Cricetulus griseus: one gene and its partner. The protein of the gene in region 1 interacts with the protein of each later gene in a pairwise test. Links are inferred from orthologs where the notes say so. Each region holds a gene or a part of one and is shown on either strand. Other genes may lie near its edges.

What was found. The genes of interacting proteins can lie anywhere in the genome.
Region 2: the proteins of Dmc1 (region 1) and Kctd17 interact in binary tests that used the Homo sapiens proteins (3 or more experiments, as listed by UniProt). The two-hybrid records come from large-scale screens. The link is inferred for Cricetulus griseus from reciprocal best matches to the Homo sapiens genes DMC1 and KCTD17.

Annotation. Positions count from the first base shown.
Region 1 is NC_048595.1:376,764,053-376,768,354, forward strand, and holds part of Dmc1 (meiotic recombination protein DMC1/LIM15 homolog), read right to left. Parts: intron 3,823-4,302; coding exon 3,706-3,822; intron 626-3,705; coding exon 581-625; intron 1-580. UniProt on the Homo sapiens protein: Participates in meiotic recombination, specifically in homologous strand assimilation, which is required for the resolution of meiotic double-strand breaks.
Region 2 is NC_048595.1:375,531,003-375,536,005, reverse strand, and holds the start of Kctd17 (BTB/POZ domain-containing protein KCTD17), read right to left. Parts: upstream 3,035-5,003; 5' UTR 3,020-3,034; coding exon 2,810-3,019; intron 1,737-2,809; coding exon 1,628-1,736; intron 1-1,627. UniProt on the Homo sapiens protein: Substrate-adapter for CUL3-RING ubiquitin ligase complexes which mediates the ubiquitination and subsequent proteasomal degradation of TCHP, a protein involved in ciliogenesis down-regulation.

The sequences.
Region 1 (4,302 bases):
TAGCTTAAGATCAACCAGCCCATTCCAGCTTTGATGAAGTCACTTTTAGCCAATATATCCTTCTAACTCAACTTGTTGGGCTCTCCTTGGGCTTGTTGCCATCCAGGGCCACATTTCTGTTAGTAAGTTCCCCTTATTTATATTCTGTACAACTTTAGATTTGACTGCTTCTTTGTTTCAATCTCTGGCCCGTGGGGGGTCAGTTCTCATATACTGAGATTAAATTGTTCTGTAACACCAAGAATGCTGCTAAACAACTTAAGACAGACAGCTCCTCTTCACAATAAGGAATTATACTGGGACCGGGTGGTGGTTGCACACGCCTTTAGTCCCAGCACTCGGGAGGCAGAGGCAGGTGGATCTCTGTGAGTCCGAGACCAGCCTGGTCACAAGAGCTAGTTCCAGGACAGCCTCCAAAGCCACAGAGAAACCCTGTCTCAAAACAAAAAAAACAAAAAAAAAAAAAACAAAAAAAAAACAAAAAACAAACAAACATCAAAAAATAATTATATTGGGCTGGTAAGGACAAAGCTGAGAAAATGGAACAGACTGTTTAATATTGTACCGAAAAATTACTCACAATTCCATGTTTCTGTAACAGGTCAATGTCTTGAAAAAAAGATTCCTAAATGAAATAGAAAGAATGTATCTTATATCTTCATATCTAAATAAATGTTTCACATTTTGGGGAGTGACTAATACTCATTCACTAGTCATTCCATAATACTTCAGGTCCATTTCTCTAAACACTGAAGTAGGATCAATCACTTTTTTCAAACAAGTTGTTACATATTTAGAAAACAAACCAATATGGGTGCTGAGAATTAAACCCTGTTCCTCTGGAAGAGGAACTAACTGCTGAGCCATCTTTCCAGCCCCCATCTGACCTATTTTATTTAATACAAATCTTGATATCCTTTTCAGAACCAGTGTGCACAGGAAGCAGTAAGTTGTTATTAATCTGCTTTCATTTGGGGCTGGAGATATAACCAGTGGAAGAGCATTTACCTATCAGAAAGAAGTATTGGGTTGGATCTCTTCTATTGCAAAACAAACAACAAAAACTTTCATACTAGTTGCTAAGTGGCTAAACTTAGCACCCTTTGCCAAAGAAATTGTTACACATTTATATGTATGTCTTATTTCTACTTTCAGTTCCTAAACAAGAAATTTGATTTTCATGGAAAACTGAACATCATCATAACTTCCAACATTCTTATTATACCTCCTCATCTTGGAATCCTGATTCTTCCTGCACAATTTGATCCTCTTTCATGTTGAAAGGAAAATGGCAGAAAAATAATCAATTCTGGAAAATAAGAAATATTATTTAAAGTCAGGTGGTAGTGGTGGCACACGCTTTTAATCCCAGCACTCGGGAGGCAGAGGCAGGCGTATCTCTGTGAGTTCGAGGCCAGCCTGGTCTACAGAGTGAGTGCCAGGACAGCCTCCAAAGCTACAGAGAAACCCTGTCTCGAAAAACAAAACAAACAAACAAACAAACAAGTAGTTTTCCTAATTTTCTTTTTATTGCTGTGATAAAACATTGACCAAAAGTAACTTGGGGAAGAAAGGGTTTACACACCCTAGTCACAGTTCATCACTGAGGGAAGCCAAAGGAGGAACTCAAGGCAGTGACCTGGAGGCAAGATCTGAAGCACAGGTTGTGGAAAAATACTGCTTACAGACTTGTTCTCCATAGCTTGCTTGCTTTTTTCCCCTTCCTTCCTCCCTTCCCCCCCCCTTTTTTTTTCTGTTGTCATTGTTTTGAGACAGGGTTTCTCTGTGTAGCACTGGATGTCCTGGAACTCGTCTGTAGACCTGGCTGGCCTTGAACTCAGAGATCTGCCTACAGAGAGAGTTACAGGACAAACTCCAAAGCTACAGAAGGAAATCCCATCTCAAACACCCCTCAAAAACAAACAATCAAAAAAAAAAAAAAAAACCCTTGTATCATTCTTCCTTGTATCTTTCAAGTAAAAGGATTTTCATCAGGTGTTAGTGAGGTCCGCTTTTAATTCCAGCACTTGGGAGGCAGAGGCAGGTGATGTCTGTGAGTTCAAGGCCAGCCTGGTCTATAGTGAGAGTTCCAGGACAACCTCCAAAGCAATACAGAGAAACCCTGTCTCGAAAAATAAAAAAAAAAAAACAAAAAACAAAAAACAAAAAAAACAAAACAAACGGGGTGGGGGGTGGGGGGACTTTCTTTTTCTCATACCTGATAAATACCTTCTTGATTTCTGGTTGTGAATTGCTACACAGGTAAATGTATGTATCTTTTGCTTCACAAAACTATATATTCCATAGTATTTACTAGTTTCATAATTTTGTAAAAATATGGTAATACCTGTCTAAATTAGGGTTTTTATTTCTGCTATGAAACACCACGACCAAAAATCAAGTTGGGAAGGAACTTGTAGTCCATCATTGAAGGAAGTCAGGACAGGAACTCAAACAGGCTATGAAGTTGGAGGCAGGAGCTGATGCAGAGGCCATGGAGGGATGCTGCTTACAGACTTGCTCATCATGGCTTGCTCAGACTGTTTTATAGAATCTAGCACCCACCAGTCCAGGGATAGCACCACCCACAGTCGGCTGGGCCCTCAATCATCAATGAGATTGAGAAAATGAGAAAATGCCCTACAGCTGGATCTTGCAGGAACATTTTCTCAATTGAGGTTCTCTCCCTTCAGATGACTCTAGCTGGTATCAAATTGACATAAAACTAGCTGGAACAATATCCAGTGACAATTTCGTTTTGTTTTTTTTTTTTAAACCAGGGAAGCAACAGACACGATGGTGTACATTGCAATAAAATGAATAATCTTGTTCTTGCTTTATTGTTTCCTCGTTTAATATCAAAGTCAGGTGTTGAAGCCCTGGAGCCTCTGCCTCCTGAGATAGATTTTTTTTATGTATGTGTACGTGTTTTACATAGGCCATCCAAGCTGGCTTGGAACTTTTGACTCTCCTCTCCCATCCATCTCCCCAGTTCTGGGACTACAGGCACCACCATGCCCGCTCTCCACAATATGAGCGGTTAGCCCAAATTCCACAGACTATCCTTCCTGAAAAAAACAAATCAGCAAATTCCTCTCTCTCCTTTAGCTACAGGGTCTGCTAGACCCACTGGTTGGGAATTCAGTTCTGCCTTCCTCTGCCGGGATCACCGATGTGCCCACCCCGACCCTGGGATCTGAAGTAGGGCACTTAGCCTAGGTTTCGGGGGACTGTCGGGGAGCAGCAGGGAGGAGGGTTTCAGGGGACTGGGGGGGGGAGTGGCACGGGAAGGGGCGTCAGGAGACTGGGGGGAGTGGCAAGGGAAAGGTTTCAGGGGACAGGCGGGGTGTGGCAGGGGAAAGCGAAGGGGTCAGAAGCCCGTGGCCTCTCAGCAGGCGGTTCAGTCAGGCCCCTGAGGCTTACATTTTCCAGGCCCTAGTTCCCTGGTAACCCCGAGGAGGCCTTCAAGACTCAGGTCGGACTGATTTACAGCAGGCAGGGAATGCCTCAGGGCCGGAGTGAAAGGTGACAGTCACCTGGCCAAGTCCAATAATAACCAAAAATTACCACAGAAAGGGCAAGGAGAGGACGCGCTTTCTCAACGCTTAAGAGATTTCCTCAGATTTTCCCGTGCTTCTTCTTTTCGCCACTCACCCCCCACTCGAACCCACGGTCTCCCCGGGATTTTCAAGGTGAATCCCTTACGATTCCCACTCGGGCTTTCCGGTCCAGTCCGGGCCGAGGTTCTATTTCGGAGCCCGAACACCGAGGCCGACAACCCAGTCGTCGAATCTCTATGTATTTGGCGCCAAACGAGGATGTCTAGAGCACGCCCCCAATATGGGCGGGGCGAGGGATGTGGGCGGGGCAAATGTAGCACAACGTGAAGGGCGGGGCGAGAGCTCTAGTGAATGCTGCGGGGTGGGACGGGATGGGGCCTCCAGGCCTCTGAGATGGGGGGAGGACAGTAGTGGAACACGTCTCTGAGGAGAGAGTTTGGGCTTGAGACCAGAACCCGGGAGTCCCTTGGGCAAAGGGAGATGCTGAGTCAAGGAGAGAGGAGCTGAGATGACGACCTTGAACGGTTAGCAGGGCGAATGGGGGGGGGGTCTCTTGACCGCCAGAGGCTGCTTTCACTCCAAGCTCTCCATACCTGGCTGCAAACCTCAGACTTCCCCTCTCCTCTCCTGACTCAGCATTTGCTGCCCTCTCATCTGGGATGAACTAAAGAGTAATTTAGTTCCCGTTTAAATAGAAACCCGGGGCCATCTATGATGCCAGCCGGGCCATCTCTCCAGACTG
Region 2 (5,003 bases), about 1.2 Mb from region 1:
GGGGGCTGCTGGACTCTCTGGAGACAGGGACCATCACAGACTGAACCTTTGAAACCTCACTGCCATGTGATGGAGGGACTCTGACCAGTGGGAGGTGAAGAGTCATAAAGATGGAAACCCAAGGAAGTATGACTTCTGAAAGAAGAGGCTGATGGCCAGTGAATCCCTCTGTCTTCATGCAGCACACAAGTGGACAGTTAGCAGCAGGGAAAAGGGTCAGGTCAGAAGCCCCTAGGCTAACACGCTGACCCTGAATCCCAGCCTGCAGAGTGGGTGGGGTCAGTTGCTGTTGTCATAGTCCCCTGGCCTCTAGTACTTCTTTACAGAGTTGAAACTGTGTCGGGGGTCATTCTGATCTCTATTGTGCTCAAGTAATACATGCTGGAAGGGAGAGTCAGCAAGGACAACTGCCTGAGTGACAGAAATCTCCCAGGCCCTGGCTGGGAGCCATCCAACCCAAAGCTGTGTACCCCAGGCTAGGCTGCTTCCTACTGTGGGGGAACTTCCTTCCACATTCCCACTGCTTGGTATGGTAGGTGCAACGGTCACTAACTTCATAGACACAGAGAGGTTAACTAACATTTCCACTGTCACATGGTAAGCTTCCTCCTGAAATCCATCTCTCAGATATTTCCCCACCCCGCCTGAAGAGATGAGAGCATCAGAGCTCTAAAGAGCTGGAACCTGTAAACAGGTGTTGGCTGTGATTCGGCTGGAGTATGAGCCTCCCAGAGGGACCTGCTCCTGAGCCCAGGCCCTACCCACGTGATCTCTTCCCCTTAGACTGCTTGGCAGCTAGCTGTAGACCAGGCAGAGTGAGCTACCTACAGTGAGCTCTGAGTGAAATGATCACCCTGTCCTTTGGGGGCTCTTCAGATCACTGTACCCCATTGGGGTCAGCCAGAGAAGATGACTGACTAGAGCAAGGACTGTGAGAAATGCCACAGATTCAGGGAACTCATCTGCAGTTCCAACACACACTCTTCCGAATGTGGGTCATGATGCCCATTTTGCAGGCGCCAGTGTAGACCCAGAGAAGACTATATGTCCAAGCTGGCCTGGCCTGATCCAGAGCTACACTCAAGTGTACAGAGGAGAGCTGGTTTGAGGATGACTGTAGTCCCCTGGCCCTGGCCTATTCTTCACACTGCTTCCATGTCAGCTGGGCCTGGATATGAGCCTCCACAGACCTGGGAAGGCAGCAGCCCTACCAGGAACATCACCCCACAGCCAGCTTTGGGAACTCCACGAACTGGCTGATGACAAGCCCCTGCTTGGGAGGCACAGAATAAGGCAAAGAAGGACCCAGTTCTTCTCCCATCCAGCCTGGAGCATCCCAGGCCCCATCAGGCCTTCTTGAAGGCCAGGAGAAAGGTCATTCCCAAAGGCAGAAGCCTCAGGGCCTCTTGACCCTCTTCCTGTTTTCACATCACTTCCCCAACAGCACTCATGACAGCCTGGGTCTGTCAGCTTGGCAGAGACCTGGAGAATGGGACCCCATTCCAGGACAGGCAGAAAATAATGGGGAAAAGTAGATGCCACCTTGGCTACAAGAATGATTTTAGGAACTCCGGATGGCTCTGGCCCGCTCCAGAGAGCCCCAGACCAGCCCAATGAACCAACTCACCCTCCTCAGCCATGTCCTTGTCCAGCACCAGTTTGCCATGCCTGAGGAAGTTCAATATGGGCCCGAAGTAAGTGGGGTCACGGTCAATGAGGTAGGCCCCGGTCTCATCCTGTGGAGATTAGCACAGGAAGTGAGAGGCATGCAAACTTCCACAAGTCCAGCCCCACACATAAGCTCAACTGATCACAAGCTGGAGAAGGACTGCAGAAAGAGAGATGAGATAGAACAACAAGGTGCTGGGCTCCAGCCCTGCCTCTGCCTTTTCCAGCTGTGTGACCTTGAGCCATCATCTGGCCTCTTGAGCATGTCTTCTCTCCCGAATCACCAGAGGACTATGTGTGAGCATAGGGTGTGACCATATTTCTGAGCGACCCCTAGCTCAACACAGGATTCAATGAATTCCCCTCCTGGGAAAGTTTCCCTCTTGGAGGCTGCTCCCCTGAGCTAACCCCACTATCCACCAGATGTTTGCAAGTTTCCAAAGGAGCTGCTCTCCGATTGGACACTTGCAGCCTGCAGGGAGGCATAGCCGGCATCAATACGACCCCATCAAGAAGCAGGGGACTCGCTCAAGGACATAGTGTGAGAGGTTCACAGAATGGGGGCCAAGGAACTTTGGCAAGTCAACTCCAGAGGTCTTGCACATGAGGACAGAGTCAGATCAGGGAAATCCATCCCACTCCCCACTCCTCCCAGGTCATTCGGGAGTTGGCAGGAGAGCAGGGTGAGCTCACAAGTGGTATCTGCTAGGCCAGGGCTCTTCCTTACATTAAACCCACCTCCAAGACACCCAGGCCTTCTCCACCCAGTTCCCTGCACCCCTCAGCTGCCCACACCCCAAGGGCAGGGAGAAGCAGCCTGCATCAACTCCTAACGCTGGAGTCTGCCAGGACAGCACGGCTGGCCGGGCTTGTAAGTCCCTCAGCACCGCCCCACAGCAAGGGAGCGTCCCGGATCCAGGGCAGCGCTCCAAGGCTCCAAATGGCCGCGGCCTGCGCTGTCCCGTTGCCACGGCAATGGGTACAGCGATCCCTCTCAGCTTCGCTTCCTACCCCTCCTCCTGCCCGGGCTTCCCGCCTCGGGATCCTACGAATGCTACACCGACCAGGTCGGAGGCCGAGAGACGCACAGGCTGGACAGCCTCAGAACGCGGAACCGGGACACCACCATCGGCGGGCTCACCCGGTCCGACTGCAGCTCTTCGCCTTGGCACAGGCGGCTGAGGAAGGACTTCTGCTCCCGACACAGCGTCTGGCGGGTGGTCAGGAACACCGTGCCCCCCACGTTCAGCCGCACCCACTTGCCCCAGCCGCCCCCGGCGCGGCCGCCCGCCCCCGCCGGTGGCGCTGCCTCCCCGGCCTCCATCCTCATCGCCAGCTGCGGTGTCTGCATCCTCCCCTCCGCTTGCTGCGGGGCGGGTACCAGGCGCGGGGTATGCCGGGAGCTGTAGTATGGAGCTAGGATTGGGATGCTCTGCGCTTGTCCTGGTGCTGCTGGGACAGCAGGTCCCGCCCCACATTACCTTTCTTGGCGGCCTGACACCTGGTCTCTCCCTTTGACCAGCCTGCTTGATTTGCAGAAGGCCAGAGCCCTGGGAAAACAGCGATCCCCGATCCGCTATTCTCCTCATTTGTTCTGTGTGCGGGGGGGGGGGGGGCCCAGCTGAGGAATGACTGACCTGAGAAAACTTTCTTCCTCCAGAGATTCCTATATATACCTGCTTTCTAATAGGTGCACGCACATGTGTGTGTGTGAGTGTGTGTGTGTGTGTGTGTGTGTGTGTGTGTGTGTGTGTGTGTGTGTGTGTGTGTGTGTGTGTTTTGCTGGGGATGGAGCCCACGGTCTCTGGTATGCTAAACCACACCAGCAATATTTCTTTCTGCCCCATGTGTCACCTCTACCTCCTAGATTCTTTGAGAACATCTAGTTGAATTTAGGGTTGTCTGAACATTTCTGTGTGAATATATAATATACATTACTTATTTAGGCTCCTGGTAGCTCTGTCAGGTTGGTACTGCCAAGATAGTGGCACAAATGGGGCTACAGAAGTAAAGAGACAGTAGTACATTTCCATACAAAAGTCTGTTTCCTCTGTTCTTTCCAGGGTTGTCAAGGATTAGGTCAGGGCTCCCACATTAAGCCCAGACCTCCTCCACCAAGCTCCCTGCACCTTTCAGCTGCCCACACCCCAAGGGCAAACAGAAGCAGACACATAACTCCTTTCCCAGCTGGATTCAGCCTGGACAGCAGGGCTTAGGAGGAATGAGAAGGGAAAAGGCAGCCTGGTTTGTGGGGATTGTGAGGCTGATCACAATGGTCACTGGTCTGCAGGGATGGAGAGAAGAGAGGGGTGGATCAAGTGGGATCAAGAACAGACATAAGTCTTCAGGGACAAGAGCCAGAGTGCTCTGGATGCCAGTCTTGGGCTAATCTGGAGGAAACAGAGTTTGCCTAAGGAGTGGATATCCAGAAGATGAAGTTCAGATATTGGCTTCCCTGATGCCATCTGCTTCCATAAATATGATAGGACTGAAGCTTGGAGGCAAGGCACATGGTAACCTGCCCATGTCTGTATGCAAGATGGGAGAAGGGAAATTGTGAATACTCCACCCCCAGATGCCTTGCCCAGTCCTTGAGGAGTATGGGCTGTGCAACAGGCCTGTGGGGCACCAAAGCTCTCTGCAAAGGAGGAATGGCCTTGGGGTGATGTTTTGGGATGGTCCCTCTGGCATTGGTGTTCCAGAGAATTATTCGGATAGGAAGGCGAAAATGGGGGGAAGCTGTTGTAGGGATGTGGTCTCTGCTTCCCCGCCCCCCCAACTGCTCAGCGGGATCCCAAGGACAGGTGTCCTTTTCAGGACAGCACAGCAGGTACCAAAAGTACCAAACACTGGACATGACTCAGGGAATGGCCTAGTTTCACTTTCTGTTGCTGTGATACAGCATCCTGCCAAAAGCCGACTCAGGAGGAAAATGGTTTATTTGGCTCACAATTCCAGGTCATAGCCCTTTGTTGTAGGCAAGTCAAGTAGGCAGGACTTGATCCAGCTCGTCAACTCCTCAGTCAAGGGCAGAGAGAAAATGAATGCATGGATGCTCAGCTCACTTTTTCTACTCTTACACAGTCCAGGACCAAACCCATGGAATGGTACCATCCAGAGAAGGCCGGGTCTTCCCACATCAGTGTATGTAATCAAGACAATCTCCTACAGACATGCCTACCAGCCAACCTGATTTAGACACATCTTCATTAATTGTCTTCATGGATTCTAGATAGTGTCATGTTGACAACTAAAACACACCACCATCCCTGGGGAGGTGAGTGAAGCAAACCCTTTTTGTAAGGATGGGGATCCGGTCTTCCTCCTCCAGCCAG